Linked DNA regions of Drosophila melanogaster. The protein of the gene in region 2 interacts with the protein of the main gene of each other region in a pairwise test. Each region holds a gene or a part of one and is shown on either strand. Other genes may lie near its edges. The genes, in order: l(3)neo38 and GstZ2.

Region 1 (4,878 bases), 2.3 Mb from region 2:
AGTTTTCTAACTATTATTCGATACTCAGAATATTTGTATCTTCCGTCGATCGGCAGTAATTAATAATTGGAAAATGTGCATATAAACTCTAGATAACACATGTAACAGTTGCAATTGCTCGAAAATCAAGCTAAACAAAGCATTGCATTCAAAGATTCAAGCGCGGCAGAAAGAGAGAAGACGAGAGAACGAGCAAGTGAGTGAGAGACGAAACAAGGAGAATGTGAGAGAACGTAAAAAACTCCAACCCTCTGTATTAAACGAGTAGAAGACAAGACTGCAACAGGAAAAAACAAGAATGAGAAAAGACATACAGACATGCACACACAGGCGCTTATGCAAGTGCACGTGTATATGTGAATTAACACATAAAAATTAAGGTGCAGTCGAATCGACTTGCCGGTCTCCTGCGCATTTATTTTGTTACTTAATAATGTTAATATTATAAATAGAGATTGCTTAAATTTATTAAAAAAAGAAGTCATACGCATATTATTATATCTCTAGGTTATAGAAATATTTCCGTTAATTAAGCTTATGTAAATGGGGGTATATATGTATGTACATATATATGTATGTACATACAAGTATTTATCTGTCATCAAAATTCATAATGAAGAGGGATCACTAATTGAAAATGGGTCGAAACTCCTAGGGGGAGTTATTTTACCGATCTCGAACCCCTAGATGTGGGTTTGGAAAACATGAAAACACTTGCAAGAAGGCAGGAGAACAGAGGCAGAAGCGGAATCAAAAAAAGAACTTGTCTTAGTTCCACGGCCTGCTTTCTTTCGCCGCTGGACTCACTTTCATTAATACAACATACAGCAGAGGCAGAATTGAATGCAACGAGAGCAATGCGCTCGAGAACGCTCTGCTCTCTCGGCCTCTCCTTTCCCTTCGTCTACACATGTCCGTGGGCAAACAGATCCAGATACATGCACACAAGCATATAGCCAAACATAGATACTTGAAAACACATCGTACATACGCCGCTACAAACTGACATATTCACATGTAAACGTATAAGTGCACAGCCATACCACACAACCCCAAAAAGTTGGAAAACCAAATAAAAATACAAGGCGCATTGTATGTGCGTTTTTCTTGTGGACACTCTACGTCGATCTATGAGTACCCTTTTTGCAAGTTAATAAGAAATTTCATTATGATTGTTTCGAGTCCTAAAGGCTATATTCAAACCCAGATATAATGTAATATTTTTAAAAAATGTTCTTCAACAAGGTAGCCATTATCAGGAAATATATTAAAAGCAGGTTATCCTTTTACCCTCCAAAGAACTACAATAGTAGTTTTAGTAGTTTAGGGCATCCAAAGTGATCAAGATCCAGAATTTTGTTATGCAAATAAATTTATTCCCTACCATTAAAATACATAAATGCAATCTTAATGGCCCTTTCTGCTGTGCCTAAACCAAATCCAGATATTCAAAAAGTCATCCTGGTCGACGTTGTCAATACATTTGTTGTTGCCTCGACGGCGGTCACAAAAAGTAGCTCATCTCTCGCTGGAAACCAGTTTTTATGCTTCGCTCCCAACCGGTTTTCATCCTGATAACTTACAGCGAATTTCGTGGCTCGTCTCACTGCGTGTCTGGCTATGAGGTTCGGATCAGCTCGGTATCGGCTTCAGTCCCAGCATAAATTGCACTTCGCCTGCACGGATCGCGCATGAATATTCTGCCCAGCAATCTGGCCAAGTGACCAAGCCAATTTCGGGAGCAGGGGCCTGGGACCAGTGTCATATGCCCGACACTCGGTGCAGCGAAATGTAAGGAACGTTCAAATAAACGCGCATTTTCCAGAGAAGTAGAAAAACTTCCACCCTCAAAGCGGCACACAGCGCACAAACATACAGACAGTCGTACAAACACACAGCGAACTAATACAGACATGTAAGAATGCTGCAGTCGTGCAATTGGTTGGTAGACGAATAGTTGCTACCCAGTAAATGCGGGGGGTCATTGCCAATGCTTAACATGATCTTGGGAATAATTAAAAAAAATATATTTAACAAGAGGAGCGCTAAAAGGGGTGTAAAATTATCATTAGCAATCGGTTGATTTAAAAACATTCTATTTATTATATGTATTAAATAATTTGAAAAACTAATTAAACGATCAACTTATAGGTAAAATACCCATCTAAACTACCGATAAAGGTAACCATGAGAGATTGGATGAAAACGAGTGCCATTAGCCCTCTAACGAAATATAAAAACTAAAAACCATCTAAACCATAAGCGAGGAAAAGGGGTGCGAATACCTCCCAACCGATATACCCAGCGTGCCTCTGGGCACTGTCACTGTCATTTGCGTCGCAGCGCTGCCGCCGTCCGCGTCCGCGTCGCTTTGCCTGGCCCAGTGTTTCCGCTTTCTTTCGCCTCGTTGTAATGTTACTTTTAGTTTGATGTCGGAGCCTCGACGAGCCGGTCGTAAGCGAAATCGTAAGCGAGACTTTAGTGCGATTCCGCTCCGTTCCGCCGGTTGTGTGTGCGTGCTTAGTTCGAGCTGAGGCGAAGCAGAAGCAGAATCGGAATCAGAATCCAGCGGAATCGAGAATCAAAATCGAAACCGAAAGTGGTTCTCCGCGTGTGCGAGCTAGTGTGTGTGTGTGTGTACGTGTTGTGTTTGGGCCCGCTTTTCTGCTTTTCTACCCCCGAAAAAGCAAAGCACAGCATAAAACTGTGCGCTCGTAAGCGCGTACGTGTGTCTATGTGCCTCTGTGTGAGTGCTAGTGTATGAGTGCGACCAGGGGAAAGGAGGCAAAGAAAAGAAAACCAACCCCCACCAGCGACGGCGGAGAACAGGAAAACAACAACAGAAGGCACACAACCAGCGCACCACCACCATCATTACCATTACCGCCACCACCCACTACAACACTTCGTCATCGTTTCGCGTTGTGCAGAAAATAATTACAAAAAAGAAAAGAAATAGAATTGCAAGTAATATTAGCGACCGATCGAGTTTTAGTGCTAAAGCGATTCGAAAGATTGTCTTGCTTAAACCAAAAGGGCCCCTCGAGGCCCTAGAACTACTATCCATTACCCCGCCGATCATCCCGATCCTGACATGATGAACTTCTCCGCGTTCGGCGGCCCCTTCTCCGGCATCCACCAATTTGCCGCTAAATTCGACGCCCAGACGCCGGGCGCCTTCGGCACGCCCCCCGCGGCTGCCGCGAATGCAGCAGCCGCAGCGGCAGCGGCCGGCACCGATAACCATGTGCAGCGATATCAGACCAATGGCAATCACTTTAATCAGAATGTGCCCAACGGTAAGTGCATCTGCCCCACCACTACACTATACTATACAACATTTACAATGTGGCTACACATACGGACAGACAATCGCCTGCAATGCACATGCAGGCACATGTGTCTGTATAACATAATCACTAAAAATTTATTTTATTTTTATCGATTTATTTTCGCCCGCTGCGGGCAGCGACGCCGGCGTCAAAGCGTCAGGGGGTATACACTCTCACTCGAGCAGCGACAGTGGCGGTGGTGGTGGGGAGACAGAGTCGTTGACAGAGGCAGTGGCAGAGGGGGTCGGCTACTGCCTCGCCTAATGCCCTACACACAGAGGGTCTTGTTTTGGGGCAAAGGGCACTACTCTTGTTGGAATGGCAACTTCTGGATAGCCTTCTTTTTCAAAAATAAACTAAACGGGCTGCTGATAGTCATCAAAAACTAACGGGTACTTCTTGCAATAACTTATGATTAAGATCATCATAAATGAGAATAGTAAAACGTAAAAAATATACAACCTCTAATTTCGGTGAATAACACCTCTTGATTGTCCAATTGGTTCATATTTTAGTATTCATGACGGCAGGAAAAAGCAAGTAGAGTAAGCAAAAATATTTAAATGAAATTAATACAAATTGCTTATAGCTGTATTATTTTACAATAATATTCTGGAGTTCACGAACAAAGAGGTTTATTGATCTCAACATAAAGTTTGATTTGACCTTCTGTTTAGCATACTTTGCTTCAAACAAATCGTAGGACCTTATGACAATCCTATGAATAATTCTCAATAGTTTCAATTCTCTGAAGCTTAGTTAAAATTTCGTTTCCAATACTCAGCTAAAAAAAAAGTCCCACTTGAAACTCGAACAATACTTTCCTTGAATTCCCAGCGAAAGGTGGCTTCCATCTGGATCTACTTACTGACATTCGCATAAAGACATGTGTGAGTGTAAGCGGGTTTTCCACCCCCATCTACGAAATTCTCGCTTTCTGGCTAGCAAAGACATCTTCTTCAGGCAATTTGTAAACCGCACTACAATTTTTTGGGGGTTGGTTGGCGGGTTGGAGCGACTTAGTACGAGTACGAGTATACCCTGTCATCAAAGCAGAATTTAACGATTTTTTCGTCGTTGTTTTTGTTTTGCGCTCTTTTTATACGAATATTCCGCTCTATGTTTTGAGTCATTACCACCCACCCCCAAGTGGGTGTAACCTGTGTGTGTGTGAGTGTAAGCTATGGCTGTTGTTGTTTTGCGTGGCTTGAAAATGCAATGAACTCAAATAACTTTTGAATTTGCTGCATTTCACTTTGTTTTTTTGTAGGGGTGGGTTTCACCGCTCTCTTCAGCTACTTAAGCACATACATAGAAATACAATTAAATGCATATACGTATGTGTGTTGGGCGAGAGTATGTGAGTGAGTGTGTGTGTGTTTGAGTGTGAGTTACAACCCCCAACCCACGAGAGCCTGCCTTTGCCTTTTTAATTGCACTGACTTCCTGCCAACTTGCAACTTTTTTTGTTTTAGTGGAAGGGTGTGACCGGTTGGACGGTCTGGCGGTCGGTCGCTTCCATTCCCGATATATAGAATACATAACC
Region 2 (3,549 bases):
CTTGCTAATAAAATTACTGTGCACTTAATCGGTTCGCTTTGTATTTCGTCTATGTGCATTGGATTTAGGGAAATACTTCGTTAGTTAGTTATGCTTTCGTGGTATCAAAGAGGCATTACGAAATCCAGAACCATCGAATAGGTGATCGATTCTTTAGCTTAGTTCACATAAATTACTTAGGATTTATTCGATTTAGTGTATATGTAGCTTGCTTTAGTTTACTTATTGGTTGACTGACGTTTTGTACTTTGTGAACGATTTGTTTAGCATCTGCCCTTTGACTTTGACATGAAGTACTTATACATACATACATACATACATCGTTTATACTTGTAAATCTTCGATAGTGTTTCTAAATTTGGTTTTGGTTTTTTTTTTTTAAATCCCTGAATTGAATTTTGCTTTTCGTCGTGAGTTCTCCTTGAATTTGTTATGATTTGTTAGCCTAAATAAAATGCATAAAAATAAGTTACATTTAATATATATGAGTTCATCTTTTAGATCATATTCACAATGACAAACTAAGGGAATTTGAAGAATTTATTATACGATTTTTTGTTCCGTTTTCTGAGAATTTTGCGTTTGCGTTTGCGTTTGAATTTCGTGTGAGGAATTTCGTTATGTTATCGATAGTATTTTTATGCATTTATGCATATTTAAATGCTGTTAGCAATTTCTTAAATCACATCCGACTGTTTCTGCTTAATGGAATCCTCGCCAGCTTTGCCATCCTATCCAATCCATTCTCCATCGCCATCGCCATCCACGTGCCCACCGATCAGATTTAAGTTCTTAGTTTGTCTTGTGCCTGGTTTACGAACTGCAATTCACTTTTTCGTCTTACGGCGCTTTGCAGTTGGGGTCGGAAAATTCTATTTGTTGGGCAGCTCCGGCGGACAGTCCGGTTGATTGGAGGGATGGGCCGCCCGGAATGCCGGATTGCTCTCCAGTTCGCGATCGATGCGCAGAATTATGGGATACGGTCGCAAGTCGACGTGGAATCTGGAACGAAATAGGAATCAATGAATCAAGCTAGGCTTCAGCATCTCGAGATTTAGTTGATTTCGTATCATACTTACCTTCGGGCATTGAACACCTGAGGTACGAGGCAGCAGTCCGCCATGGAGATCTCATCGCCCACGCAATATTTGCCGGCCGAAGTGGACAGCGCCTTCTCAACCGCCCGGAAGCCTCGTGTAATCCAGTGCTGGGCCCACTCCTTCTTCTTCTCCTCGCCCACATGGATGAGCACGATGAGGTTCTGCAGGGGCTGGATGCCAGAGCAAATGATCTCGACTATTTCGCGCACCTTGGCCCGCTTGTGGACGTCCTGTGGCAGGAGTGGTCGCTGGGGACGTGTTTCCTCCAGGTAGTGCATTATGGCTACCGATTCGATGAGGGTGTGTCCATCTGATGGTGGATATGTGGTGAGTAAAGGAAGTTGACTTGGGTTTCTTTGGTAGATACTTACCAATCTGTAGGGCGGGCACCTGCTCCATTGGATTCACCTCGCGGTACTCATTGCAGTGCTGCTCGCCACCGGATTTGATCAGGCTGATCGGCTTGATGTCGTAGGGTATCTCCTTCAGGTTCATCGCAATGCGCACGCGCCAGGAGCACGAGCTGCGCCAATACGAGTAGAGTATTGGCTGTATGTCGGAGGAGGAAGCATTGGGACAGAGATTAGTAGACATTTTACCACAACTGGCCAGCGCCGAATGGCGTGACGGGCCCACAAACTCTATTACGAAATCTATTTATTCTAATTCGGAGACAACAAACAACACAAATAGCACAGAACAGGTTGCCGCTGATAACGAGTTGGGTTAGTAGGCGCACAACAAGCCTAGTCAAACTGGTTTAATCATTTGCATTTAGCGCGGCTATTTGGTTTACTTCGCGATAAGCCAGAGCACTCAATTACGCACTTATCGCTTATTTCTATGCACAGATAACAGGGATTTTCTCCGAGGCTCTCGGATGGATGTTTGCATATGTACCCACATGATTCATGGTGTCCAGACAGGAGCAACGCCAGCGATAGACTGACAAAAAGCACAGCGTTGAGTTCGACTTGCACCAAAAATAGCGCCCGACAACAGCTGCAAAGCAACAGTGGAGAGCTTCGGGCGGTCGAGGTGGTCGGTATCGGACCCTATACCATATACTATATATCCTAACCAAATGGCCGCCGATGAGGACGAGCCCTAAAATGATATACACACAGCTGGCTGTTCCGGCTTGGCCAATCAACCCAGCAGAGCCTATCGACGGGTCGTTGTCGTCGCCACCCACACGAAACTGTATTCACCGAAAGCATAATGAGTTCCCTAAAAGTTCAATGAACCCAGGCGAAAGTGAGGACGGTGGGTCCGATAAGTTTCGATATCCGACATCCTACATTCGAACCCCGAACCCCGAGCAGCGAGGTCCCGAGCTCCCGAGTCCCGAACTGTGTCGCACCCCAAGGTCGGCTAGGGGCATTAACCTTATTCAAGTTGTCGTTGTCCTGAGTCCACAGCGCGAAGGCAGCTCCAAGGACACAGGACCCCTACTCAAGAGAAAATTGGCTCAGAAGTTTCGCCATTCGCTTGGAGAGGGTGTGCTTTTTCAGGGGTTGCTCGGCCGTCGGCGCGTTAGAGTTTGAGTCAAAACCCAGGGGCAGGGTTGTCGAGTTCGGTCTAAAACTAAGCCATAAGTGGAAGGCGGGTTGGATTAGATGCCTCTCTGTTATAGCTTATATTTATTCCAACAAATGTAAAACAGTTATTCAAAAAGCCTTTTACCTAAATATGTATAGTGATTAAATCAAGCAAGTTTTATAAATTAATTTAAGCAAGGACAAATGTTTATATTCATTTATACAACCGGATTTTTGAAATTGAAATGCATATCCTTTTTTGCAACTTTTCGCCGCCTGACAACCCTGTTTTGCAACTTTTGCAGTGTGTACGCGAGGGAGGAGAGCTCGCTGTTCTGCGCAAAATCAAATTGCGGATTCGAAAGCGGGGTATGAGTGAAACTTAGACCAAGTGAACTGAAGTCAGAGATTGCTGGCCGCGTGGTATGAGTGATATTTGCGGGAACTGGAATGGATTTTTGCCAAATGCCCGAAAGAAGGCGCCAATGACGCTGGGATTCGCTTACCTTGGCTATGGCCGATAAGGACATAGCGTTGTGGTGGTACTTTGAGTAATTAATTTTGAAGCCGTTTGGTGCACACGCACAACACCGATGAAGAATTAAAAGAGGTTACGATCCAAGCCGGTTTATCGAAAAGCGACAATTACTCCTCGGATATCTGTCTATCCAGCTAATTCCGCACAATTCGATCTCGAGGATATGTTTTCCACCGAACGAACACTAAACACCAATTTCCAGAGATATGTGGCTCTTCCTGCGCACAGTTCTGTTTGTATTTGCAGCCGCTCAAATGCACTCAAAACCTCAAACTAAAACCGCTTGTGATTGCGCTTAGCCAAAGGATAGCGACAGGATATGAAGCCAGGACGCAACTGAACACACTGAACTAAATAAACGAGTGCGAAA

What was found.
Region 1: the proteins of GstZ2 (region 2) and l(3)neo38 interact in a two-hybrid assay, tested with the Drosophila melanogaster proteins (2 studies listed by BioGRID).

The regions. Positions count from the first base shown.
Region 1 is NT_033777.3:11,775,895-11,780,772, reverse strand, and holds the start of l(3)neo38 (lethal (3) neo38), read left to right. Parts: upstream 1-1,644; 5' UTR 1,645-1,791; exon of another isoform or gene 1,792-1,915; intron 1,916-2,151; 5' UTR 2,152-3,094; coding exon 3,095-3,299; intron 3,300-4,878.
Region 2 is NT_033777.3:9,457,124-9,460,672, forward strand, and holds GstZ2 (glutathione S transferase Z2), read right to left. Parts: upstream 1,724-3,549; 5' UTR 1,695-1,723; coding exon 1,472-1,694; intron 1,411-1,471; coding exon 1,080-1,410; intron 1,003-1,079; coding exon 873-1,002; 3' UTR 524-872; downstream 1-523. UniProt on the Drosophila melanogaster protein: Catalyzes the glutathione dependent oxygenation of dichloroacetic acid to glyoxylic acid in vitro.